Linked DNA regions of Coturnix japonica. The protein of the gene in region 1 purifies or fractionates together with the protein of each later gene. This does not show direct contact. Links are inferred from orthologs where the notes say so. Each region holds a gene or a part of one and is shown in the gene's direction. Other genes may lie near its edges.

Region 1 (4,160 bases):
AATCCTTACAATTCCCTGCATTTGGAGTCAACCATATAGAACTGGCTTCAGGAAAGAGGGGATTCCTCACTTTAGAAGTCAATGCAAGAAGGTCCCAGTCGGTTTTGTTGTTCCCAAAGGTGTGCTCACAAACCTTGTCTCTGGAGGGATGGTAATGAAGTCACGGCAGCATATGGCACCGCCGTGTTTGCTCCCAAGTGCACAGCCGCTAACCGGAGCCATCTGATGCTCCCCCTAAGCTCCCTGATCTGCGGTGGGATTGAAGCTTACAGCAAAGCTTCGTGGAGCCCAAAGGAAGACAATGGTTTGCAGACACACAGAAATCACTCATTTACTTTAACGGGGGCCCAGCTCGGATCTGGGTCTCTGCTGAGCAAAAGCTCTGATGCGTTTACGAGCAGGAGTGCATTTCCAGAGAGCATCAAACACGACCCAAAGCCGATCCGTGTCATTTTCCCGTCGCACACAGAGAGCAACGAGATCACGTAATTAAAATAGGAATTAAACGAAGCTCGGGCGTACTTAATGGTGGATTCCTACAGCAGGAAACAACCAACGCCCCGCACCGGGAGCGTGGTCACAGGAGCCCCATGGGGCCGAGCAGCCTGTCAGTGCCATAGCACTCCCTACCCGCTCGGCTGAGCACCAACACACAGCGAGGAGCAGTAACACGGCACGCCTCGGGAAAGTTCACAAGGCGCCGCACTGCAAGTTTTCCAACCGCACCTTCGGTTTAAACGAGAGGGGAGAGAAAAGAGCAGCCTGGCATCGATGTGTGCGCTCCGGCGCTGCCCACAACTCTCCCTGCCCTCCGCCCTCCCCAGGCAGCGGTAACGCGACTCCGGAGTCACGGCTCCAGCACAACTCCCCGAAGCGGCCCGGCGCTGCTCTCCCCCTCCCGCACTTGTTGCGGCCCCGCAGGCCCCGCCGCAGGCCCGGCCCTGTCCCGGGGGAGGCCCCCGCCCCGCGGAGCGCAACGAGGGGCCGGGCCGCCCCCAGGGGACCGAGCGCGTTGCGGGGCACGGACTTACCACGGCGGCACCCGGCTCCTCACGGCGGCAGCCGAACTCCGGGCGGCCACTCGGCGCGGCGCCTCCCTCCCCACCGCCCGGCCCCGCTCCCCGCCTCCCCCGGGGCAGCGTAAGTGACGCCGCGCTCCGCCACTCCGGCGGCAGCCCCGGGGCGCGGGGCCGGGCGCGGGGCCGGCTCAGCCTATGGCGGAGCGGCCGAGGCGGGACGCACCGCAGCCCCGGGCCGGGAGGGACCCTCCGCCCTACGGAGCGCAACCCGGGGCGGGGCGGGGCGGGGCGGGGCGGGGTGGGCAGCGCTGCCGCCAGGGCTCCATCCCCGCCCCGCCCGGCACCGCCCCCTCCCCGCCGGATCCGGAGCTGCGCCTGCTCGCTCCGCCTCGAGGAGCTGGGCTGAGAGCGGCTATGGCGTCTGTGTCAGCGTGAGGAGCCGGGCTGTAGTCTGCCATGGAGGAGGATCTGGAGTTGGAGAGGTGAGGGGCGGCCGTACTGTGCTGCGGGTTCTCCTTCGCTCTGGGCTGCGCTTGTAGGGCCAGTGAGGCCTTGGGGCTGGTCCTGTGTCGGCTCCCGGCCTGTAGGGCCTGGCTTGTGCGGCCTGTGCTCGGCCCTGAGCCCTCAGCCCATTGCTACGCATCTCTGCGTAATGCGGACCGCTCTTGTAATGTCATTTATACGCGAGAGATTTAAAAGTCGTATAAATGGGTGGTTAAAGTTATTTGGTTAACGCGTAGAGGCTGAACTTTTTGCAAGCAGCTGCATGGAACTGTTACAGCGAAGTGATGGCTGAGAATCTCATGGTTCCGTCTCATAACTTTTAAGAAATGTGTTTGAGAGTGCTGATGGGAAGGCCTGCTAAAAAGGACCTGGGGGTACTGCTGGATCACAGGCTAAACATGAGCAGCAATGTGCCCTGGCAATCTAGAAGGCCAACCTGTGCTGCATCCAAAGCAACATGGCCAGCTGGCCAAGGGAGTGATCCTGCCCCTCTGCTCTGTGCTGGTGAGGTCTCACCTGAAGTACTGGAGAGACATGGAGCTGTTGGAGCACATCCAGAGGAGGGCCACAGAATGACCCAGGGGATGGAATGCCTTCCTACAAGGACAGGCTGAGAGAGCTGGGGCTGTTCAGCCTGGAGAAGAGAAGGCTCCAGGATGACCTGAGAATGGCCTTTCAGTATGTGAAGGGGGTCTATAAGAAAGAAGGGGACAGATGCTTTAACAGAGTCTGTTGCAGTAGGACAGGGGGATATGGTTTCAAAGCAAGAGAGTGGAGACATAGATTGGATGTAAGGAAGAAGTTCCTTTACAATCATTGTGGTGAGGCACTGGCACAGGTTACCCTGGGAGGTGGTGGATGCTCTGTCCCTGGAAGCTCTCAAGGCCAGGCTTGACAGGGCTCTGATCTAGCTCTAGATATCCCTGTTCATTTCAGTGGGTTGGAGCAGGTGACCTTAAGGGATCCCTTCTAGTGGAAGTGATTCTCTGTTAAGTCACTTCTTTCAGCTTAGATCTACCACATCTTTGAAATGAGATACGTATGATGCCACTGGGGTGGTGGGGGGGATAGAGAATGTAATGCTTTCCAAGAAGCCTTAATTCTTGGTAGGGCACTTCCTCACTCAGATCATCAGTTTAATTATTAAAGCTTCTTTCTATATAGACACAAATGCTCTTTTTGTTAGTGCCACTCCAAACCTAAGCACTTTTTGCTTGCAGCCAGTGCTTTGTGTTTCCACTTCTTAAAGGGAGCTTATAAGCAGGAGGGAGACTAAAAGTTTTACACAGGTAGTAGTAGGAAAATGGGGAGCGGTTTTAAACTAGAAGAGAGAAGTCTTAGGTCAGATATTAGGAGGAAATTCTTTACTTAGGGAGTGGCACGTCACTGGCACAGGCTGTCCAGAGGTACTGTGGGAACTATAACTATTTTTGTATGTGTTTTTTCAGGTCTGAAGTAAGTTTTGTTTCTTAACATTCCAGACTGGGATCTGCTAAGAGAAGCTACTTATCTATAGTTGTTTAGGAAGAGTCTTCATCCAGCTTGCCTTGTTTTTCCATGTCTGACTCATGCTTCATCTTGCATCTGATGCTTTCTTCACTTCATAGGAGTCTCTGTAGAAGGGGAATGCTCACCTGCAGGTTACAGTGCAACTCTTGCATAGTATGGATTTAAAAAATAAGGAGTAGTCTTAAAATCAGTGAAATATTACTGTTCACTGCATTTTACTGAGTTATTTCCCATTTCACCCAATAACCTTTGTTGGAAGCATAAGCTGGTGTTTTTTCCTCTGGTATGTCAGTGCAGATCCAGACTGTAAGCCAGAAATATCTTGTGATCCTAAGGAAATTCTGGGATTAATCCTGTTAGTGTATAATGATGATGTTAAGGTATACCCAATAGTCACTACTATAAACCTTATGGATCAGCTACCAGAGGCTGGTTGTTTCTGCTATAAGCATGTGTACTTGCTTTTGCTACTTAATTTCTACTGCATATCCCCATCTCTTCCTCCCCCACCTCCCCTTCTAAATGGTCTCTGTGCTTTGTGTCTTTGTTGGAAGCACAGGGAGAAAAAAAAAATGAGGTTTCTCTGACAGTGTAAAGGAAGAGATTTTATATTACCATGTATCAAAACTGTTCTATAGTCAGATCTGCCTCTCATTAGCTATAAATATTTCAGAATCTTATTAGAATTGCCTACCAAGCCTTCTTGGAGCATCATCTCGGTAGTAAGTGTTTCCTAAAGGGGATACTGTTCTAAATTCCAAGACCATTACTGGGTTTAGTAACAAGAAGCCTCTTGTTGAGTTGAGAATTCATAGCCATCTTGCTGCACAGATGTCCTAATTACACTCCTTAACAAGTAAGCTTTGCACCTTGGTAAAATTAATTGACATTTCTTGCTATTGTTTTTAACAGTAAAAATAGAAATGTCGTAATTAGGTCATTATTTCCCATTTTTTCCCTATCTCCTATGGCAAAAATTGGTCTGCAAGCTGATATTGTTTCAGATTAGATTAAGTGGTATCTTCACTGTTGAGAATATCAGCGTGGAAATGTTCTGAAAATAGCACTTATGAGACTGACAAATGGAATATTTAAACAAGCTACAATCTTGATCTACGAAAGATGGTT
Region 2 (4,298 bases), on another chromosome or scaffold:
CTATCAGAGCTGAGGGTGCTCACACAGCCCCTACCTTAGTGAAGTTCCACTTGATGGCACTGAGAGAGAGAAAAACAATGGGGTCAGAGGGGTAGAACCATCCCATTGCCCCCTCCCCCTCCATCACCACTCACTTCCCCAACGTTCCCCGGCCTTTGGGCTGCTCCTTCATCCACTTCCACAGCGGGTGGGCGCCGTCCCCATTGACCTCAATTTTACTGAACATATCGAACTTCACCCCGTAACCCTCCGCAAAGGCTTTGATCTGTGCATCATCCCCAGGCTCCTGGGGGGGGGGAAAAACAGGTATCACACGTGTAAACCCCACACAACCCCATATCTTTGCATTGAGGTGCCCACCTGCTTCCCAAACTGGTTACATGGGAAGGCCAATATGCGCAGCCCTTTCTCAGCGTATCGTGCGTGCAGGTCGACAAGCTGAGTGTAATTCACTGCAGTCTTTCCTCATTTGGAAGCCACGTTGGTGATGATGCAGACGAAACCCCTGGAGGGGTAAAATAGGGGGTAAAAGGAACCTCTGTGGGGGTAAATGGGGTAAAATAGGGGGTAAAAGGAACCTCTGTGGGGGTAAATGGGGTAAAATAGGGGGTAAAAGAAACCTCTGTGGGGGTAAATGGGGTAGAATAGGGGGTAAAAGGAACCTCTGTGGGGGTAAATGGGGTAAAAGGAATCTCTGTGGGGGTAATATGGGGAAAATAGGGGGTAAAGGGGGTGAAATAGGGGGTAAAAGGAACCTCTGTGGGGGTAAAAGGGGTAATATGGGGTAAAATATGGGGTAATATGGGGTAAAATAGGGGGTAAAAGGGGTGAAATAGGGGGTAAAAATGGGGTAAAATGGGGTAAAATAGGGGGTAAAAGGAACCTCTGCGGGGGTAAAATGGGGGGGGGGGTATATAATACAGCCCATTGCTGTGTTGCTGTATGGTACATATAATGTCTCTATAATGTCTATATAATGTCTATATAATATATATATCTAATAGACCTGTATTGCTCCAAGGCCACGTCTCGGCCGTCGATATCCGTGGCGTGGAAGTCATAGATGGAGGTGGCCGATCGCCATTCATCCGCCTGCGCGCACTGCGGGGCCCAGCGGTCACAAAGCGGCTCCGAACCCCCCCAACCCCCCCAGTACCGACCCGGTTCGGTTCGGTTCGGTTCTGTTCTGTCCCCCCCCACTCACCATTGTCCGCCCCGCTCCTCTCGCCGCCGCCGCCCCGCACAGCAGCGCCCGCCCGCAACGCCACCCCCACCCCATCCCGCCACCGCTCTCCCCCCCTTTGACCAATCAGCGATTAGGACGCGCGAAGGCACCGCCCACTTCTTGCAGTTGCGCAATGCGAGCCGCTCCCTTGGGTGATAGACAGGCGAAACCACCAATCAAATCAGCGAGGCTGCTGCAGTGTCAACAAGGGGGTGGTGTCCTTCCGCCATTCCACCCCGCCTACATCTCCCAGCGTTCCCCGCGGTCAAGGACCCCTCGCAGGGCAGCCCCGCCTGCTCGTTGTGGACAGGCATTGAGGCGGGCAGCCTCGTGGGGTCCTTCAGGAGGCAACATGGACGACGAGGAGGAGACGTACCGGCTGTGGAAGATCCGCAAGACCATCATGCAGGTGCGGGCCGGCCCGGTTCGGTTCGGTTCGATTCGGTCCGGTTTCAGGTCTCATATGTTGTATTTCCCTTTAGCTGTGCCATGACCGCGGTTACCTGGTGACTCAGGACGAGTTGGATCAGACGTTGGAGGAGTTTAAAGCTCAGTTCGGGGATAAACCCAGCGAAGGCCGCCCGCGCCGAACGGACCTGACCGTGTTGGTGGCACATAACGATGATCCCACGGACCAGATGTTCGTGTTCTTCCCCGGTGAGAAACGGGGCCGGGTCGGAACCGGGTCAGAAACGGGCTGGGACCGGGTTGGGACTGGGTTAGAACTGGGTTAGGACCAGGTTAGGACCGGGTTGGGACTGGGCTGGGTCTGGGTTAGAACCGGGCTGGGACCGGGTTTGGACCAGGTTGGGACCAGCTTAGAACCGGGCTGGAACCAGGTTAGAACTGGGTTGGGACTGGGCTGGGACCGGCTTAGAACCAGGTTGGAACCGGGTTAGGATCAGGTTAGAATTGGGTTAGAACCGGGCTGGGACCGGGTCAGAACGAGGTTGGGACCGGGTTAGGACTGGGTTAGAACTGGGCTGGGACCGCGTTAGGACCAGGTAGGGACCGGGTTAGAACCGGGCTGGGACCGGGTTAGAACTGGGTTAGAACCAGGTTAGGACCGGGCTGGGACCGGGTTAGAACCGGGTTGGGACTGGGTTAGAACCGGGCTGGGACCAGGTTTGGACCAGGTTGGGACCAGCTTAGAACCGGGCTGGGACCGGGTTAGGACCGGGCTGGAACCGGGTTAGAACTGGGTTGGGACTGGGCTGGGACTGGCTTAGAACCGAGCTGGGACCGGGTTAGTACTGGGCTGGGACCAGGTTAGAACTGGGCTGGGGTCAGGTTGGGGTCTGGTGGTGCTCCTGGTTCAATCTCACCCTGCTCTTTTCCTCCCTCAGAGGAACCCAAAGTCGGCATTAAAACCATCAAGATGTATTGCCAGCGCATGCAGGAGGAGAACATCACGCGGGCTCTGATCGTGGTGCAGCAGGGAATGACCCCATCGGCAAAGCAGGTACAGTGTGATGTGGCCCCGGGGCTCTTTGAGCTGTGCTGGGTCCATAAAGGCAGAGTTCAGGCTCTGTGCCTTAATACTGGGCTTATACATTGAGTGCACTGAGCTGGTGCTGGTTGGGCACAGAGATCTGTTTCCTCTCTGCCCATATGACCATATCAATGTGAGCACAGACACCGTGTTGCCCTCCTGCTGCTGTTCATCTTGGGGCATCTCTGAGCTCACACTGTCTCATATCAGTGCTACAACCTGATGTGCTTCTCCCTTCCCAGTCCTTGGTCGATATGGCTCCCAAATACATCCTGGAGCAGTTCTTACAGCAGGAGCTCCTGATCAACATCACAGAACACGAGGTGAGTGATTCAGGCCGGCCCTCCCAGCCCTGCCCTGTGCTGGGTTTCCCCACCAGAGCTTTGTTCCTCCCCCCAAGTCTTGCAGCTATGCAGAGCTGGTTGCTTTCTCAGACTCTTATGATCTCTCTTTCTCTCTCCTGTTTACAGCTGGTCCCAGAGCACGTTGTCATGACAAAAGAAGAAGTAACCGAGCTGCTGGCCAGATAGTATCCTTTGTTTGGTCCTTCCCTTGCAGTCAGGGTGTGATGAGTGCTTGTCTTGGGCAAGAAATGGATTCCTTTGAGTGTGTGATGTTCTGTTAGCTGTGCCCTGCCTCAGGACAAGCAGACACAGAGCTCCTCCTTGACTCCATGCAGTAAGCTGAGGGAGAACCAACTCCCCAGGATCCAGGCTGGGGATCCTGTGGCCCGATACTTCGGGATAAAGCGAGGCCAGGTAAGAGCAAATAGCCTGATAACAAACAGCAGGGCCCTGCAGGCAGGATGGGGAGCTGCAGCACAGTGTGTCAGAGCTTGGAGATGGGAAAGGTTTCCTCTTTGTTAGTGTTTTTGTTTCTGAACGTTATGGGTTATGTAGAGATGTGTGCAAGGCAGCAGATAGCCCTGGGGCCAGGCTTGGCTTCCTGCTGAACCAGCTGCTGTAACACCAGCCATCCCCCATTGCTCCTTTTGCTGCCCTTCCAGGTGGTGAAGATCATAAGACCGAGTGAGACCGCAGGCCGTTACATCACCTACAGGCTGGTGCAGTGATCAGAGCTCTCAGGTAATGTGTGAGATCCCCATCTACGGGCAGTGCTTTAAACTTATGCTGTGGTTTTCTAGGGGTGACTTGAAGTGAGTTGGCTCTGGGAAAGGATTCCCTCCTGATTTGCGAAGGGAACTGTATGGGATGGATCAGAGCAAAGCTATACTAGGGTTTGGTGCCTCAGTATCACAGCTGAAGGCACATCTCAATGTTCAGAGCAGCAGCAGGGCTTTGCTTTGAGAGCAGCTGCTGAGGGAGACATGAGCTCATTCACGTCCTGACTTATTTCTTCCAGTTGTGAAAGAATTCTGTGACATCTGATCTTCCCACCCACCACCAGCTCTCAGCTGTCTGCATTCGATGGCTGAGGAAGTTCTCTGTCCCTGCTGCCCCCCTGCAGTTGTTTTCCTTGTCCCAGTTCCTCATTTCCCAGCACGGATTTTGCTGCAAATCCTTCTGCTTCAATCAGGAACGCCATGAAAACACCTCGAAGCAACTGAATGACACAGGGAAG
Region 3 (3,323 bases), about 110 Mb from region 1:
CTATAATGAGCATCACAGAAGAGACGGTCATTAAGAGAAACTCACGTCTTCCAAACTGTCCTTGTCAGTGATTCCAGCATTAATCAGACATTGCTGTGAGAAACCCTGTAGAAACATATTGTTTGGTGGATGCCATTAAGGACAATTGTCTGCAGGAAGATGTGCTCTGTTCCCAGACAAGGACTAGCAGTTGGGTATGTCTGTCTGCAGCACAGTAACAGTGCATCAGTGTTTGGGCCTGAACTGGTACTTTTCATAGAGAAGGGCACTGTTGTGGCAGTGACAGAATTTGTCCCTGTAAAAGGTACATGTAGAAGCTTAAAACCAGCTGCGTGCAAATCCTTCAGCTTTGCTGTGTTACAGTTATGCACTGAATTCCTTGAATGAAATTTGGTCCTATTTTGATGATGAGAAGTTACTCTTTTTGTCTGGGCATTTTAAAATCTTAAGACCAGTTCTGGCACTATTGCCTTTTCCCGTACAGTGTAGCAGCAATCTTAGGATCAAATGGGTCTCTTGGATACTTCAGTTTCTATGACCTCTGTTTAATGGTAACTTACAATTTGTGCACACTGTGTCTTGTAACCTTTCTGGATGATCTCTGTGCACATACAAAACAGGCCCAGAAGGGTCTAGCTTCAAGGTATGGTGCAGTGAGTAGTCTGGGTTCCTCAGCCCCTAGCTGCTGTAATCAAACACTAGACAGCTGCTAAACAGAAAAGTCATGACTCATTGAGCTTCCAGGGAGGTGGAGGAGTCGCCATCCCAGGCAGTGTTCAGGAGGTATCTGGATGAGGAGCTATGAGATATGGTTTAGTGGCTTGTGGTAGTGGACGGTTGGACTAGATGATGTAGGTCCTTTCCAGCCTTGTGATTCTATGATTTTAATGCTTCTCCTGTGGAACGGTGCAGCGGAGAAGCGTGTTCTAGAGAGCAACTAGCTCAGCCTACTAACCTCTCTGTAGTCAGATCTAGGTGAAGTCAAACCAGTTACTTGGAGCCTCATTCCTCATCATAAACTAGAGAAATGTAATTAAACCTTCTATACAATTAGTTGTCAAAGCTTAGATGAGTTTCAAGAGGAGAAAAATAAATAAATACCCCAATTCTAGAGCATAAGGAGGTCAGTTTTTAAGAAAAAAACTCTTGGGGAAGTATGTCCATTAAAGAGAAGCAGCATAGTTAGGGAAGAGTAACTGTGGAAGGACTAATGGTGAGTTACAATGGTGAGTTTCATAACCAAGAATCTTGCTTAACATGAACCAGCCTTATTATATCTGGCTGCAGTGACACCCTCAGGCTCTAGGTCAAGGTCACTGATATCAGAAACAAGTGAGTAAAGCACTGGCTTTATTGCAGATGATTGTTCTTAGACTCATTCTGTACCACAGAAGCGTGTAGCAACTTTGCTGCTTGGAACTGTCATGACATAATGCCGAGAATATAAATATGGAACATAAAAGCAGAAAGAGAGCTTTGATAGACCATTAGGGAAGTGCTGGGACCTCTGTGTTCCCAAAGGCCTGGCTTCATCAACTCTCTAAAGCCAGAAGATGGAGAATACAAGAAAATCAGGAAATACAGAGATAAGAAACAGAATAAAAAGGAAAACCTGTCTCCCAGATTGAGTAAAGAGTGCAAAAACTATGCATTAAAGCAGTTTTACCAGACCTCCATCTCTGCAGAAGATTTTGCTGTTTCTACAGAGGGACCTAAGGGGAGAGATGCTCCTTTTCTGATCTATAGGAATGTGGATTGGTTTGAAGCAGCATAGGGTGACATTGTGAATAAGGGGGGGGGGGGAAATCTCAACTAAATGTGAGCATTCATTCTTTCTGCCTCTTTTTTGTGGCTACCTACAAGATGGAAACTAAATCATGAGTCATGTTTCAGAAATACTTTGTTCTGTTCACCTTTTGTTATTATGTAATGCTGAATATTTGTTGGCAGTTATGCAAGTGATGAAGAAGTAGAAGTCGGTCCTGATAGCTGCTAAGCACTGTGATTCTAGTCCAAGAAAAGTGCGGGTTTAACAGGGAGCTCTTGCTGACTTCATTCAGTTTGATTTAAGAGCCTGAAGTTGTGACTGCCTTAAGTGCTAATGCGTCTCAAGCACTCAGCTCCTTCTAGGAAAGAAAGGCAGTGTTTAGATGCAGGTGAAAATGGTGGATGGTGGCAACTGCTCTTTTCTGCAAAGTTTTGCTTGTGCATAAACTCTGGCTTTCTTTTTACTTGTTTCCATAGGTGCCATTACTGCAAATCATCGTGTCACGTGTCTTCTCTGCGGATACCTTATGCCTGTAAACTCTTATTCCAAGAACTGCAGTCGATGAATATCATACCTAGGCTAAAACTAGCTAAGTACAATGAATGAACAAGAAAAAGAAGAGAAAAAGTACTTCATATAAATTGAAATCCAGCCTATTATCTGGAAGATTTTTTGGTGAACAGGAGTAACTCTAAAACCTAAGTGGGCAGAAGGAGGTGCAAACCAGTTGTAGGAAGTCTTTTGTGTGTATTCTACCTGTTTTAATTTGGCAGAAAACACTTCATCAGTAACATCCGCTAGGAGTAGTTCTGAAAGCATTTATTAGTCATAGTGAACAAGGCATGTGGGAGTGGTGGAATGAAGCCATGATCCAGCGAAGCACATACATCCCTTTCAGGGATGTAGCAACCCCTTACTTTGTTAGGAAGAATGTTCTGCTGGACAAGGGCGTGAGCTGCCCTCAGGGCACATCCTATTCAGAGAGGTTAAAAACATGTTTTACAGACTGGTGGAATATGAAAGGCTAATAAATATTTTAAATAATAGTGCCTGAATTTGTGGTGCTGTGTTATGTAAGGATGGTGCAGCCTTCTCGTAATGTCTGAAACATTTTGCTATCCCTAAAGCACGTTATTAAAGCATTCATTAGTCAGTCTTGGAGATATGAAAGAACACCTCCTAGAGGATTTGAAATAGTCATTTTTAGAACAGATTTTTAGGTGATTTTTTTTAATAAGATGCAAGGTCTAAAGAGACCTAAAGCAGCAGATGAACCAAGAGTTCACTTAGAACTATAAACTATCCTGAGTCCTTTCTTAGGAAAGCACATTTACCTTTTTAACTGAAGTCAGGAGAAAGTATGTGCATGTTCAGGTGCCTGAGAGAAATACACCACACTACATGAGTCAGAATGCAGAACATTGACTGCAAAAGTCCTGAGGTGCCCTCTGCCTCTTCACACAGCTGAACTGTGGATGCTGATCCTGAGACAACTACACCAGTCATGTTGCTGCTGTTCCCTTAGCTGCATAGGATGCACAAATGAGTACCAGCT
Region 4 (3,500 bases), on another chromosome or scaffold:
CATGTTTTTTTCCTGTATTGCTGAAATTCTTGCTGAAATGTCAGATGTTGAACACAGTTGTTCCTTTATTCTCCTCTTCTGTTCTCCCTTGTGCATGTTTTCTCTTCTGAGTATCATAACCTTACTTCCTTCTGCTTTCTATAGCAAAGGTATTACAGTTGCAAATCAGTGAACACTGCGAACATCTGTTGAATCTGAGTCACCTTCTGCTTCGCTTGTGATGTCTGTTTTCCTTTAGAGCAGTTTCATTTGTCTCTTTGTCTGCACGCTCTCTGTGCTTGATGTTTGAGTTTTTCTCTTTGCTGTGCTGCTTTGCTGCTTCCTTGCTGCTTGTGTTTTCCTAAAGCTCACGCTGGTTCTTTGGAAGAGCTGATTTTTATAGCTGGTGCTTTTGATCCTTTGTACTTTTGAGTAGCATCGCAGCCAAATAGCACTGAAATATCAGCACTGTCTGTCCTGCCAAAACACAGACCTTTATCAGTAGTTTCTGGTGGAAGAGCTGGCAGTGAGGATGCATGGATCTCAGGCACCGAGAGGTGAGTCCACAATGAATTTGCTGCAGCAACCGAACAAATGACGTCTTCCCTCTGACAGATGCTACAAATCTGTCAACAGAAGGGAATTCAGAGATGCATCGCCTCTTGGATCCAGCATCTTATTTTGAAGGAGCTTTTCTGAGCAGTTCAATCCAAGACATCAGTTACAGCACTGATGCACTTGGAACATGGAAGGCTATTTTTTTTCATCAACTTTCTGCAAGGGTGTCATTTCTTAAGCTGCCAGAGCAGCCACAGGAGCTCATCAGTCAGCGCCCTGAGCAGTGTCTGAGTCCTGCAGTCTTGTGTTCAACCGGTTCAATTGACATTGACATGAGTGTTCATAGTGAGAGCTGGGACATTACTCTTCAGCACTCAGCAGCATGTTAGAAGCAGTGATCAGACTTGTAAGTACAATTTGTCATCAGTGCAAAAGTTGAGAAGGGTTGCTGCTGATCTGGAAATACTGTTATCTGTTAAAGTTCTGATCAAAGCCTTCTGTTTAACTTGAGTTGTGAAGTACCTGAAGGTACAGGAGATCTCTGCCTGGAGAGAGGTGGATGCCCCATCTTTGGAGACACTCGTGGTCAGGCTGGGAGGGTCTCTGAGCACTGATGGGGCTGTGGGTGTCTGTGTGCATTGTGGGGAGTGGGATCAGATGGCCTTCAAGAGTCCCTTCCATCCAAAGTGATTTGATGATTCTCTGATTCTGTAAGAAGTATATGGCAAAGAAAGGGAATGGAGCTAACCCAGGGAGAGATCAAATTTAAATAGGGAAGAAGAGCAGACTACAAATGACCCAATAAATCAGATCTAACCCAGGCAAGGTGCCAGCTTTCTGAAGATATGGAAGCAATAACAAGTGCAGGACACATTGGCCCTGAGAGATAAATCAGCCTTTAGGTGATTTTGCCTGTCTCAAAGATGTCCATGGAGGTTTTAAGAACTGTGGAGATGTGGCACTGAGGGACTGGGTTGGTGGTAATGGTGAGGCTGGGCTGGGGTGGGGGATCTTAGTGGTCTTCCCAGCCTTAACCTGTGATTCTGTGATGTGGGCTTTTTCTTTGTCAGGTTTGTTCAGCTCCTGCTGCTGTGGTGCTGTCACCTTCAAAGCTGAATGCAGCAATCGTTAATGACACTACACTGATAACCCTGTCCAAAAAGCAGGCTCACAGCCCTCTACAAAACTGAGCAGCATAGATCATCTGGGGAGTAATGGCTGTGTCAGCAGTATTGGCAACAAAGACTGTATTTATGCACTGTAACACATTTCATTGCGTAGTGCTAATGCTCCAAGGTATTCCAGTTAACCTGCCCACATGGTCACCTCGGAGAAGCAGCCCTGAAGGCCGTTATCTGGTACCACTTCAATAGCTGCAGCAGTTGCTTACACAGAAGGGTAATGGTAGGAGTGTTCTTAGCATATTTTAACTTGTAATATATACTGTGACAGCTGACAGGAATGAGAGCCAAAGCTATTTTTCAAGCCAGGGTCCTACAGTAGTTCCTGAGCTAACCATGATTTGAAAGCCACTCCACAGAGGATTTCATCCTTTGATCAGCACAGCTCCCAGAAACAGTCATCTACAAATGGATCTTCGTCTGCCTTTTGCTACATGAGTGGTTTGTAGCATGCGTGCTTTCCTCTCATCAAGGGGCTGCGGGTAATGGCTGCTGAAAGATGACCCGATTGTGCAAAGAGGACTCATAGGACATGTCATAGGACACGGAGGGGAGGGGGGAAGGTAATTGAATATACCAATCTGGTTTTTAGAAGGCAAGATGTGTCTGAATGACTGATAATTTGCAGCTAGAAATGATTAAACCTGCATTGACTTGGAACTGTAATTAATATAAATCACCACACTTCAAAGGACATTTTAAAGGACTTTGCATAAAAAAAGCAAATCTCAAACCCTGCAGTCTTAATTGGTTTCATTTGCGTTTGAAGAGTTCATTTGGCTTATGCCTGCAGTCCTCTGACAAGCTTTTCCTTTTAGCAGCTGCCTATAAATTAGGGCAGCAGTTTTTACTGGTAGCAGCGATATAAGAGTTCCCGCAGCTCCACAGTGAGAGTAGGTCCCTAATTAATCTTATAGAATTTTATTGTTGATTCATGACAGCACGTTTTGTGTTGCTCAGAGCTTTTTATATGCTTTCATACTCCGGAAATCTACAATCAAAATAAGTTCTAATAACATACGGCTGCTCCAGGCACAGGTGGCTTCTTTTATGGTGCAATTACTTTCCTTCGAGGTGCTGGATGAGATACCCAGGTTCAGGTAACCAGTGTCGTGTTATCTCGTTTCACTTATCACAAGAACACACAGTTTGCTCAGGAACTTAAGAAATCTGGAAGGCAGCTCTGCACATGAGCTGATGAAAGGCCTGAGTCAAAATATGGATGTATGGATTGGGAAAGGTTTTAGCAGAAATGCAGATTAAAGGTTGCGTTATGTGTGCTGCTTTCCTTGTTTTGAAGAAGGCAGGGTCTCATTATGGAGTGCCTGTTGTCGTGGTTAACAATGGAGCTCTTCATTCTTCTGTAAATTCCAAGAGTTCCACTTTGTCGGAGCTCGTTACAAAAACATTCTACAATGTCTTTCATCCATTGAAAATAGTATTTCCCAATTAGTTTAGTCCTTTGGTTTGGAGCTGAGGGCAGAAGTATGGGTTTAATGATTTCAATGGATTGTTCTTGACCTACAGATGGTAGAAGAAAGCGAGGAAAGGCTGACAGAGGAGCAGATCGAGTCGCTTCTCCAGACAGTCGCCAGCATTCTTCCAGGGGATCCAGAAGAACAGCAGAGAGACTCAGCAATGGAAACTGAAGGCGGAGGCGGCCAGTAGCAGGAGGAATCTAGACCAAAGCCAGCAACAATTTCGGCAGAAGAGAATTGGTTAATCTTCTTCTATTTTTTACTCGATACCAGTTTCAGCTTGTATTGGGCATCATTGTAAAAT
Region 5 (3,500 bases), on another chromosome or scaffold:
TAATTAATTCTGTTCATTTCTGTGCTTCTTTAACAGGTATTTGGAGCAGGGACATCAGATACAAAAGTAATTTGCCTTTAACGGAGATCAACAAGATATTGAAAAACTTGGAAAGCAAGAAACTAATTAAAGCAGTGAAATCTGTGGCAGTGAGTAATTTTTGACTTGTTGCTTTTTAACATTTCCAAATGTTTGCTACATGCTGTACATGTTTGAACGTGGAACAGGGAGCAGAGAAACCTTGTTCTGCCTCCAGCTTTGTCACTGCATGTGGACCAACATTTTACTCTTAACATTTACAATGTATGTTTGAGCTGTACCAGATCCAAGAGGCTGTCATGTTTGATAAGTAATAAACATACTATAGCAAACAAATTAATAATATAAGTAATAAATACACCGCCATTAATATACTGTTCTATTACCATTCATACTGCTGTTATATCTTACGTACAAATAGTCCACATGCGAGAGTAGGGCTTATTTTTTTCAGTACTTTTGTTATTCTGTTGTAATGCTTATGCAGCATCCTGCTCTGCCTTACCTGCTTCATTACAAATCATTGGCATGTGCATATTATTTGGGCACTCTCCTGGTTTCTAGCTCAGGGCTTGTTGCATACTAGCAATGTGTGTCCATCTTATCTAGGAGCTGTACACATCAATCCAGCTGACTCAAGTTATCATTACTGTGCCTTAGATTTTACCTTCATCTATTCAGAGCCATGTACTTTCTCTACCAGGCATCCAAGAAGAAGGTGTATATGCTGTATAACCTGCAGCCTGACCGATCGGTGACTGGTGGGGCCTGGTACAGTGACCAGGACTTTGAGTCTGAATTTGTGGAGGTGTTAAATCAGCAGTGTTTTAAATTTCTACAGAGTAAGGTAAGTGCCACTACTAAACTGATCCTTCATTTGTATTTGCAAATAAATCTTTTATTTCTAAAGCCAATGACAGACAAGGCTTCAGTTTTCCATGGTACTTCCTGTGAGTGTTACACTTTTTTGTAACCTTTGCAGTGAGTGGATCCTTCCTTCTCCAAACTGCAGTGACATCTCAGAAATGGTTTACAAAACAGCACTTTGCACTCTGCCCTAAACTGAGCTGTGAAGAAAGCTCTGTCACTGAGTGCTGACTGCAACTTGTCTTTGTGGTTTTCTTCCTCAGGCAGAAGCGGCTCGAGAGAGCAAACAGAACCCTGTGATACAGAGGAACAGCTCATTTGCCTCCTCCCATGAGGTGTGGAAATACATCTGTGAGCTGGGTATCAGTAAGGTCAGCATCAATTCATCTTTCTGCTCAGAATTGTCAGTACATGATTAGCTGCAGGAGTTGGGTCGTGCAAGTTTGGTGAGTGCTCTAGTTCCCTGCAGTTACTGCAGTGGAGGTGGACTTTGTTGCTTTGTTGCTTTTTGAGGATTGCCAGTGGTGCTGTATGGGATTCCAGGATAGTCTGTATGCGTGGGCCATTGTTGGTCACTACCAACAGGCTTCAGTACTCTTGTCCTTTTCTTCCACAACTGTTTTGTTGTAGGACAAGAAATATATCGTGCTGAGATAATATAGACACTTGAGGTGCATAGGAAAATTCTTTTGCGCTAGTAAAGGTTAATGTAGTCCAAGAAAAAGTCCAAGAAGTCTTGGGACTTTTCTTTTTGTATCTACACAACCCTATCAAGTGCCCAGTTAAGAGCTGTACCTGTAATGTGGGACAAGTTAGAAGGGCTCCTGGAAATGTCTGTTACTCGTGGGGGTTTGCTCTTGTTTCCTCATGTACTTAGTGGCAAACGTCTTTCCTATATTTATTTTACAAATTGTTCCTTAGGTAGAATTGTCAATGGAAGACATTGAAACCATTTTAAATACACTAATATACGATGGAAAAGTGGAGATGACTATTATTGCTGCAAAGGAAGGGACGGTCGGCAGTGTGGATGGACAGATGAAGTTGTACAGAGCTGTCAGTCCTCTCATACAACCCACTGGATTAGTCAGGACACCCTGTGGACTCTGTCCAGTAAGTAACAAATTCTTTACATGAATAGGTGGTACATGCACATTTTGGATGCAGTCCTTCAAATGGTCAACTGGTGCAAATGAAGGTTATGTCTGTGAGTGATTCTTGTGGGTTTCTAAGCCAAGTGTGCTCATGATGCCCATGAACATTATGTTGCATCATTTATTACAGCGGGTTCTGTTTTGCTTTGTTGTGCTCACGTTGCTCTTACTCCAAACTGGCACTGAACTTCCTCGACTTTGTTCTCAGCTAGACTACTGTTTTTCTACTTAGAAAGGAAAAGGAAACATGAGGCTCTGCTACTTCTAGTTAAGTCATGCTCGCTGCGTACAGTTACACAGGTCTGACACAGGTCTTTCTTTCTTCCCTAGGTTTTTGATGATTGCCATGAAGGTGGTGAGATTTCTCCATCTAACTGTATTTATATGACAGAATGGCTGGAGTTTTAAGGTGAAAGAAAACTGTAAACTCGATTCGTTCTTCACAGCTAAGATGACAAAGCAGCTTCTGGTTGTGAGCTACTTCAAGATGTGAAGTTCCTCTGGCTTTTTTCTTTTTAAGTAAACATAAAGCTGCAGCACATCAGCTGTGTGAGCAGTCCTGTAAGTGGACTGAAAATCAAACAAGCATTGAAGATCAAGGCTGAACGTAGTTCCCATCTTGTACAAAATGTAAGTGCCTGACTTGAGAAGCACAACAGAACAGCTGTGTGGTGAGGCATTGCATTCAAGGATTGTGTTGAATACTCAACAGACGCTTACTTCGAAGGAAAATAAGTCATCAGCTGATCAGAAGAACTTGCTAAGAAGCATTGTCAAGAATGAGATCCTAAACTTTGCTTTCAGACTTAGAGTGCTGGTGGGAGCTTAAGACCTAAAGCTGACACTTTCTTCCCTATGTAAAATAGGAATTGATGATTCTTTACCATCGTTCTTACCTGCTATGATCTATGATTAAAACTGTATTTGATTTTTTTTCATATCTATTTTGGTGCTTCATTTACTCCACTGCTGTCAGAGTCTGGTGATGTTTCTGTTGCATTTTCTGTTGGACAGCTACTGTGATCTGATTATCTGATCTGTGCTTCTGTGTTCTGGCAGCTGCATCATGCACATCAGTGTCAGCTGAAATTCAGAATGTAGGTATTCTGTGAAGATGTGTTTTCCAAACGAGAAACAGCTCTTCTGTCCTGGTTATACAGGTACAGTGAAAATTTGTGTAGGCTGTTTCGGTGCCCTGAGGATTACAAAAAGCACCAGAGTTAGCTGTTTGTACATAAATACGGATTGTGATTGAAGGCATGATACTGGCATACCATCAAAAAGCACGCTCTTATCTTCCTGTCACATAGAGCAGATTTCTTAGAATCACAGAATCATAGAATCACAAAGCTGGAAAGGACCCACAAGATCATCTGGTCCAACCGTCCTCCCATTACTGCTGCTACCACAAGCCACTAAACCATATCTCGTAGCTCCTCA
Region 6 (3,033 bases), on another chromosome or scaffold:
TCTGCAGTATTATGTTAACTGAATTGGGTGCTTGGTCCCCAGAGACTTGCCAGTCTCTTGCCTGAAGCTGTTGTCAATACAACATCATGCCCTGTCTGCAGCATTTGTAGAGTGAGGATAGTACTGTTATTCATGCTTAGAGAGAAAATTAGCTTATGAAGTGCTTGGTTAACAGAATAACCAGTTTTTATTGGGAAAGCTATCTATTAATACTATACAATGAGTGCATTCAAACTGCATTGGAGAGATAACTGGTTGTGAGCAGAGCAGAAAGATTGAGTACGTGGCAGTGAGGACTGCCAGAACTTGCTGTCAGCTCAGCCTTATGCTCCTTCCCTTGTGGATCCTGTTCTGGCTCCCTACTCCGTATTCCTGTTTGCCAGCTCTTTTATGCCAGCCTCACCTTAGTTCAGGTTCCTTACCCGTACACCCATTTTACCTCTGAACTCTACAGCGCTTGTTCATTACGGTTCTATATGAGGTATTCATTTAGGTTCCTATGGAGAGGTTCCTTGCTCTCAATGTTGCCTCCTGCCCCCAGTTTCCCCAGAGACCCTGCAACCTGAAGGGGCAACTCTCCCTGCTGTTCTAACTGTGCTGCACACACTGCTTGGATCTTAAGCTTGGCTTGGAAGGGGTTGAGAGCAGAGGCTTTGACTCAGAGTTCAGCCTGCAGCAGACATCCAGCATGTGAAACATCTGCTGAGGATTCACTTGAAACAGCAGCGTAGCCCCAAACACCTGTTGGCAAAGGGCCCACTCAGCTCTCACTGTGCCTTTGCTCTCTGCTCCTGAGCTTTCCTCTCTGAGCTTTGCCCTGAACCTGTTCATTTATGCTAGCGTCCCATGAGGACAACGCTAATTTATTGCACAGGAAAATGCTGCCTTGAAGCAAAACAACTGGCATGTCTGATGAGATGAGGTACTGATGAACCAGGTTTCAATGATTTGTACTTTATTCTCACAAGTGACACATTACCTCATCACGTGGAATTTGCAGCTGTGCCATTGGCATTAGAAGCAGCAAACAAATGTCACTTGGGTGATACCTTTGTTTGGCTGCTGTGCTCCAATTCTTACGCCCTCTGATTTCCCTGAATGATATTCTTCAAAAAAACGTGATCCCCAGATTTTATTAGACTTAAAAGTGGTTTGGTGTCTTTGCTTCGTTTCCTAGCTCAAAGTGACGAGCGCATCTGATACCTTTGCTGTCAATGTTTTTCCACCTACACAGGAATAAAGAGGTCGGCATTGTAGACAACATCAAGCTGTGCAGTAATGACCGTGGCACTGGGAAATTCAAGAAGGCCTGCATCACCGTCAGAGTTCCTCGAAACCCAACTGTTGGAGATAAATTTGCCAGCCGCCATGGGCAGAAGGGCATCCTGAGCCAGCTGTGGCCCGTCGAAGACATGCCGTTTACAGAGAACGGGATGGTTCCAGACATCCTCTTCAACCCCCACGGGTTCCCCTCACGTATGACCATCGGGATGTTAATTGAGAGCATGGCGGGGAAGTCAGCAGCGCTGCACGGTGCCTACTACGATGCCACTCCCTTCACCTTCACGGAGAAGAACTCAGCCTTGAAGTACTTTGGTGAGACTTTGGTGAGCGCGGGCTATAACTTCTTTGGGACAGAGAAGATGTACAGCGGAATCAGCGGCGTGGAGCTGGAGGCAGACATCTTTGTGGGGGTCGTGTACTACCAGCGCCTGCGCCACATGGTCTCCGACAAGTTCCAGGTGAGGACAACGGGCCCTCGGGATTCCGTCACCAACCAGCCCATCAAGGGGAGGAACGTGGAAGGGGGGATTCGCTTCGGTGAGATGGAGCGTGATGCGTTGTTGGCTCACGGCACCTCCTTCCTGCTGCACGACCGCCTCTTCAGCTGCTCCGATGCCTCTGAAGCCTATGTCTGCACCAGCTGTGGCAGCATGTTATCTCCTCTGCTCCAGCGCCCACCACCTTCCTCCGTGGCAAGCAACAGGAGGTACTCCTGCATGCTGTGTGGCAGTATGGATACCATCCAGGTCATCCCAGTGCCCCATGTCTTCTGGTACTTCTTGGCCGAGCTGGCAGCCATGAACATCAAGCTAAGGCTCACGCTGGAGCACTAATCCTGCAGTGAGAGAGAGGAAGCACGCCTTAGTCCTGCCCCTTATGGGCTTCAAGGGTTAAGTTCTCAGGTTTGTCAGGCAGTTCACAAGGTTAATTTCATGTTTGCGTTGTGATGGGGTGGTGCCGCACGGTGCAGAAATGCGGTCCCATTGGTGTTTGCACGTTGTAAGAGATTGCTATTACAACGTGTGTGGAAATCAAGCAGGATCACTGTTCCTACGGGCCGCCGGCTTGAAAGCGGTGTGAGTTTTCTGTTTGCTGAGAGCTGGCAGCAGCTGTAAAGATGAATAGGTCACAAACAGCATGAAGCGAATGCTGGGAGTGACGGTGCATTGCACTTTTTTTTTGTCATTATTTTTTATTTCAATATTTTGACCCAAAGAAGAAAGCAGATGGCTTTCCAGCCTGGCTCTTACCTTGGCTCCAGCGCTTCTTGGGTTGCAGAGGTGCACGGCCACAGGCAGGTTCTCAGCCCTGGGGCAGACTGTGTCCCCAAGTCCCAGCGGTGGCTGTGGCCTCTCCTCAGGTATGAGCCTCGTCTGGTTGGCACCAAGATTTTTATACATGTTAAGAGTTCTTTATATGTTTCTTTAAAAAAAAAAAAAGCATTTAAAGCTGTGGCTGCAGCCAGCCTTGCTGCGTCCTCCTGGGGGATCCAAGGGCAGCCAGGGGGGTGGTGGGATCTCCTGCCTGCCACAGTGGCTCAGGGCCGGCCTGGGTGGCTCTCCCAGGGCTTGGGTGGCCGCGGGAGCCGGGAGGCTGTGGGGCTGTCGTTTGTGGGTGAGGCGTTGGGGTACCGCACCCCGGCTGGGGCCTGGCCCCTCTGCACCAGCTGCAGCAGCTCAGCAAATGAAGGGGTGGCTGGGGCCGGGGGGGCTGAGTCCCCTGTCTGATCCGTCATAGCGCTGCCTGGCT
Region 7 (3,995 bases), on another chromosome or scaffold:
AATACTTCCAAATGTCCAGCCTGAATCTCCCCTGACGCAGCTTAAAACCATTCCCTCTAGTTCTAAGTTCCAAGTTAGCAAGAAACAGCAGGTAGGGACAGAGGCGCTGTCACAGAATCACAGAATTGTAGGGGTTGGAAGGGACCTCTAGAGATCATTGAGTCCAACCCCCCTGCCAAAGCAGGCTCCCTACACCATGTCACACAGCTCGGCGTCCAGGCGGGTCTTAAATATCTCCAGAGAAGGAGACTCCACCACCTCCCTGTGCAGCCTGTTCCAGTGCTCCGTCACCCTCACTGTAAAGAAGTTCTTATTAAGGAACTTCCTATGCTGTACTTTCATCCCATTACCCCTAGTCCTATCCCCACACACTACTGAAAAGAGACCAGCCTCACCACTATGGCCCCCACACCTCAGGTATTTATAAACCTGGATCAAGTCCCCTCTCAGCCTTCTTTTCTCAAGGCTCAACAGACCCAGTTCCCTAAGTCTCTCCTCATAGGGGAGACGCTCCAGGCCCTTCACCATCTTTGTGTCCCTCCACTGGAGTCTTTCCAAGAGATCCCTGTCTTTTTTGTACTGGGGAGCCCAGAACTGGATACAATATTCCAGATGAGGCCTTAATAGGGCAGAGTCGAGTGGGAGGATCACCTCCTTTAACCTGCTGGACACACTCTTTTTAATACACCCCAGTATGCCATTGGCTACAAGGTGCTAGCAGCGTGTTAGCACCTCCCCAACCCAAGTACCGTCCTCCACATCACGGCTATGATGAGCAACGACATGAACGTGAGACAGGAGGGCCTAACCCCAACCCTAACCCTAACCCCAACCCTAACCCTATAACCCTATAACCCTATAACCCTCCTAGCATCACACCAGGACCCCCTCACACCCCACCCCTCGTGTAACGCATCCCATCGCTCTGTCCCTCCCTCCAGTGACCGCAGTGGGCACCGCCGCCGTTACAGACCCGCTCCAGGCTCCTCCTTCAGCACCAGTGAAGCAGTGCGGGCAGCGGGGCCGGCACACCGCCTGTTGTTCCCGTGCTGTTCCCCTGTTGTTCCCCGCTCACACCGGGCCCAGCGGCACCGAACCCGCCGCGCTACGACGCTCCGGCCCCGCGCTCCACCCCCGCTCCCACCCTGTCGCCGCGTCGGCCGGAAATGACGCCATATTGACGAGAGGATGTGACGTCATCTCGGAGCGCCCCCACCGGAAGTGCCGCCATTACGGCGTGGCGCCTGGCCTGTTCCTGTGTGTACCGGGTATGGCCACCGCCACGTGGAGATACCGCGGGGATCCCGAGCAGGAGCAGCCGGCAGTGCTGGGTGAGCAGAGATGCGGGATGGGCGGTGCGGTGCGGTGAGGTGCTGAGGGACTCACGGCCTGTTTTATCGCCCGTAGTGACGTTCTCCAATGGGCAGCTGCAGCGACCCGACGCCGTGCGGTTCTCGCTGTACCGGAGCAGCGAGGTGTCCAACCCCAGGAAGAGAAGGCGGAGGATCCTGGTAAGGCCCGGCATCACCGGGGGTGGGATCTATGGGGTCTATGGGGTCTCTATGGAGAATCTGTGGGGTCTCTGTGGGGAATCTGTGGGGTCTGTGGGGTCTCTATGGGGATCTATGGGGACTGTGGGGTCTCTATGGGGTCACTATGGGGATCTGTGGGGTCTCTGTGGGTCTCTATGGGGGTCTCTATGGGGATCTATGGTGTCTATGGGGGTCTATGGGGATCTCTGGGGTCTCTATGGGGTCTCTATGGGGGTCTCTATGGGGTCTCTGTGGGGATCTGTGGGGTCTCTATGGGGTCTCTGTGGGGATCTGTGGGGTCTCTATGGGGATCTATGGGGTCTCTGGGTCTCTATGGGGGTCTCTATGGGGATCTATGGTGTCTATGTGGTCTCTGTGGGGATCTGTGGGGTCTATGGGGTCTCTATGGGTCTCTGTGGGGTCTATGGCGTCTCTATGGGGGTCTATGGGGTCTCTATGGGGATGTATGGGGTCTATGGGGTCTCTATTTGGATGTATGGGGTCTCTATGGGGGTCTATGGGTCTCTATGGGGTCTCTGTGGGGGTCTCTTTGGGGTGTATGGGGTCTCTTTGGGGTGTATGGGGTCTCTTTGGGGTCTCTATGGGGGTCTATGGGGTCTCTATGGGGATCTAAGGGGTCTCTATGGGTCTCTATTGGGATCTATGGGGTCTTTATGGGGATCTGTGAGGGTCTATGGGGTCTCTATGGGGATCTCTATGGGGGTTTATGGGTATCTGTGGGATCTGTGGAGTCTCTATGGGGATCTGTGGGGGTCTTTGGGGTCTCTATGGGGATCTATGGGGTCTCTATGTGGGATCTTTGGGGTCTATGGGGTCTTTATAGGTCTCTGTGGGGTCTATGGGGTCTCTGTGGGGATCTGTGGAGTCTCTGTGGGGATCTATGGGGTCTCTGTGGGGATGTATGGGGTCTGTGGGGTCTCTATGGGGATGTACGGGGTCTATGGGGTCTCTATGGGGATGTACGGGGTCTGTGGGGTCTCTATGGGGATGTATGGGGTCTATGTGGTCTCTGTGGGGATCTATGGGGGTCTGTGGGGTCTCTGTGGGGATCTGTGGGTCTCTATGGGGTCTCTATGGGGATCTATAGGGTCTCCTGGGCAACCTGATCTAGTAAATGTGTATGTTTGGTGGCCCTGCTAGGCAGGGGGGTTGGAACTACATGATGCTTGAGGTCCCTTCCAACCTGGGTCATTCTGTGATTCTGTGAAAGTCCTAAAGATCATCCAGTCCAACCGTTCTCCTATTACCAATAGCTCCCCCTAAACCATGTCCCTCAACACAACATCCAGTCGTTCCTTGGGCACCCCCGGGGTGATGATCCTCTGGTTTGTAATGTTGCCTTCCCACAGCTCTGTGCCACTTGGCTCATTCTGACATCTAACACTTGTTCTGTAAACCGAGAAAGGCTTTGAGTAACTGCATCAAGCAACCTTAAGCACTGCGAGTAGGATGTGCAGGTGACTGGTACAGAATGCTCCTTTCCACTGCCTCTTTCACAGACTGCTCCTACTGCTTTAAAGGATGGTTTATTTATTTACTTTATAAAGTATAAAGTAAATGGAATATGTAAAGTAAAGTAAAGGAATATGATTTAGCTGAGAAATATCGGTAATGGTTGGACTAGATGATCTTGTAGGTCTTTTCCAACCTTGATAATTCTGTGATTCTATGGTGACCGTGGCAAATTTGAGCTTTGTGTCACTAGAGATACAGTACATGCAGGAAAATATGCACTTTCAAATAATGCACTCTTCAAGTAATTTTTTTCTTTGTTTGTCAGGTTTCAGAAACTGAAAGGCTTTCATACGTGGGGAATAACTTCAGCAGTGGATCTATGAAAAGCAACTCCCTATGCAGGTATGGGTAGCTGGCAACGCTGTGGCAGAAACAGGGAGGGGAAAGCAGAGGAACTGCACAAATAAAGTATTTTCTGTAGCCTTCTGTATTGGGGACTGATGAGTTCTCATTGAGACCATGGTGTGAATGGAGAGGATTGGGGCAGTTGATATAATCTCCTGGCAGCTGCACCATTTTGCATGTTGTGATCTTACACATAAGTGGAGTTTAGGTCTGCTGGAGGGAAGAAAAGTGAGAAGGTGTCTGCACATAGCTGAAACCTATGGACAACAGCATTATTCCTTCTTAACTGTTGTCTCGCTCCAATTTAGGAGTGAGGCAAAGGTTCTTTTAATAATGTTATGCCCGGCGTGAGATTAAGAAGAAGAGCATTCAAATGTTGATCCGACCAGTTTATTGGAAATAATAGACAATTGAGGGGATGGGGAAGGGAGAGTGACGAATGCCAAAATTAGGGTGATGGGGAAGGGAAAGTAGGCGATAGAAAAAGGTAGAAAAGAGCAAGAATTACGTTAAAGCGGGGAATAGTCACCTCCTGGATGCAGCAGCGTCCCGTAGCACGTTGTTAACGTTGGTCCGGGGCAA

What was found.
Region 2: the proteins of protein POLR1D (region 1) and POLR2E purify together in Homo sapiens (affinity purification with mass spectrometry; 4 studies listed by BioGRID and IntAct, with this or other methods). This does not show direct contact. The link is inferred for Coturnix japonica from reciprocal best matches to the Homo sapiens genes POLR1D and POLR2E.
Region 3: the proteins of protein POLR1D (region 1) and POLR3B purify together in Homo sapiens (affinity purification with mass spectrometry; 6 studies listed by BioGRID and IntAct, with this or other methods). This does not show direct contact. The link is inferred for Coturnix japonica from reciprocal best matches to the Homo sapiens genes POLR1D and POLR3B.
Region 4: the proteins of protein POLR1D (region 1) and CRCP purify together in Homo sapiens (affinity purification with mass spectrometry; 5 studies listed by BioGRID and IntAct, with this or other methods). This does not show direct contact. The link is inferred for Coturnix japonica from reciprocal best matches to the Homo sapiens genes POLR1D and CRCP.
Region 5: the proteins of protein POLR1D (region 1) and POLR3F purify together in Homo sapiens (affinity purification with mass spectrometry; 3 studies listed by BioGRID and IntAct, with this or other methods). This does not show direct contact. The link is inferred for Coturnix japonica from reciprocal best matches to the Homo sapiens genes POLR1D and POLR3F.
Region 6: the proteins of protein POLR1D (region 1) and POLR1B purify together in Homo sapiens (affinity purification with mass spectrometry; 5 studies listed by BioGRID and IntAct, with this or other methods). This does not show direct contact. The link is inferred for Coturnix japonica from reciprocal best matches to the Homo sapiens genes POLR1D and POLR1B.
Region 7: the proteins of protein POLR1D (region 1) and POLR1E purify together in Homo sapiens (affinity purification with mass spectrometry; 3 studies listed by BioGRID and IntAct, with this or other methods). This does not show direct contact. The link is inferred for Coturnix japonica from reciprocal best matches to the Homo sapiens genes POLR1D and POLR1E.

The regions. Positions count from the first base shown.
Region 1 is NC_029516.1:157,557,116-157,561,275, reverse strand, and holds the start of protein POLR1D, read left to right. Parts: upstream 1-1,360; 5' UTR 1,361-1,475; coding exon 1,476-1,501; intron 1,502-4,160.
Region 2 is NC_029543.1:2,009,030-2,013,327, reverse strand, and holds the start of POLR2E (DNA-directed RNA polymerases I, II, and III subunit RPABC1), read left to right. Parts: upstream 1-1,498; 5' UTR 1,499-1,577; coding exon 1,578-1,634; intron 1,635-1,707; coding exon 1,708-1,882; intron 1,883-2,571; coding exon 2,572-2,687; intron 2,688-2,959; coding exon 2,960-3,040; intron 3,041-3,187; coding exon 3,188-3,246; intron 3,247-3,396; coding exon 3,397-3,475; exon of another isoform or gene 3,476-3,723; coding exon 3,724-3,789; 3' UTR 3,790-3,802; intron 3,803-4,079; 3' UTR 4,080-4,298. UniProt on the Homo sapiens protein: DNA-dependent RNA polymerase catalyzes the transcription of DNA into RNA using the four ribonucleoside triphosphates as substrates.
Region 3 is NC_029516.1:49,181,310-49,184,632, reverse strand, and holds the end of POLR3B (DNA-directed RNA polymerase III subunit RPC2), read left to right. Parts: intron 1-2,244; coding exon 2,245-2,374; 3' UTR 2,375-2,823; downstream 2,824-3,323. UniProt on the Homo sapiens protein: Catalytic core component of RNA polymerase III (Pol III), a DNA-dependent RNA polymerase which synthesizes small non-coding RNAs using the four ribonucleoside triphosphates as substrates.
Region 4 is NC_029534.1:3,815,473-3,818,972, forward strand, and holds part of CRCP (DNA-directed RNA polymerase III subunit RPC9), read left to right. Parts: intron 1-3,245; coding exon 3,246-3,386; 3' UTR 3,387-3,500. UniProt on the Homo sapiens protein: DNA-dependent RNA polymerase catalyzes the transcription of DNA into RNA using the four ribonucleoside triphosphates as substrates.
Region 5 is NC_029518.1:13,399,183-13,402,682, reverse strand, and holds the end of POLR3F (DNA-directed RNA polymerase III subunit RPC6), read left to right. Parts: intron 1-36; coding exon 37-149; intron 150-742; coding exon 743-886; intron 887-1,169; coding exon 1,170-1,277; intron 1,278-1,827; coding exon 1,828-2,019; intron 2,020-2,390; coding exon 2,391-2,468; 3' UTR 2,469-3,000; downstream 3,001-3,500. UniProt on the Homo sapiens protein: DNA-dependent RNA polymerase catalyzes the transcription of DNA into RNA using the four ribonucleoside triphosphates as substrates.
Region 6 is NC_029518.1:13,955,877-13,958,909, forward strand, and holds the end of POLR1B (DNA-directed RNA polymerase I subunit RPA2), read left to right. Parts: intron 1-1,234; coding exon 1,235-2,117; 3' UTR 2,118-2,533; downstream 2,534-3,033. UniProt on the Homo sapiens protein: Catalytic core component of RNA polymerase I (Pol I), a DNA-dependent RNA polymerase which synthesizes ribosomal RNA precursors using the four ribonucleoside triphosphates as substrates.
Region 7 is NC_029547.1:66,747,554-66,751,548, reverse strand, and holds the start of POLR1E (DNA-directed RNA polymerase I subunit RPA49), read left to right. Parts: upstream 1-1,195; 5' UTR 1,196-1,270; coding exon 1,271-1,331; intron 1,332-1,407; coding exon 1,408-1,511; intron 1,512-3,333; coding exon 3,334-3,410; intron 3,411-3,995. UniProt on the Homo sapiens protein: Component of RNA polymerase I (Pol I), a DNA-dependent RNA polymerase which synthesizes ribosomal RNA precursors using the four ribonucleoside triphosphates as substrates.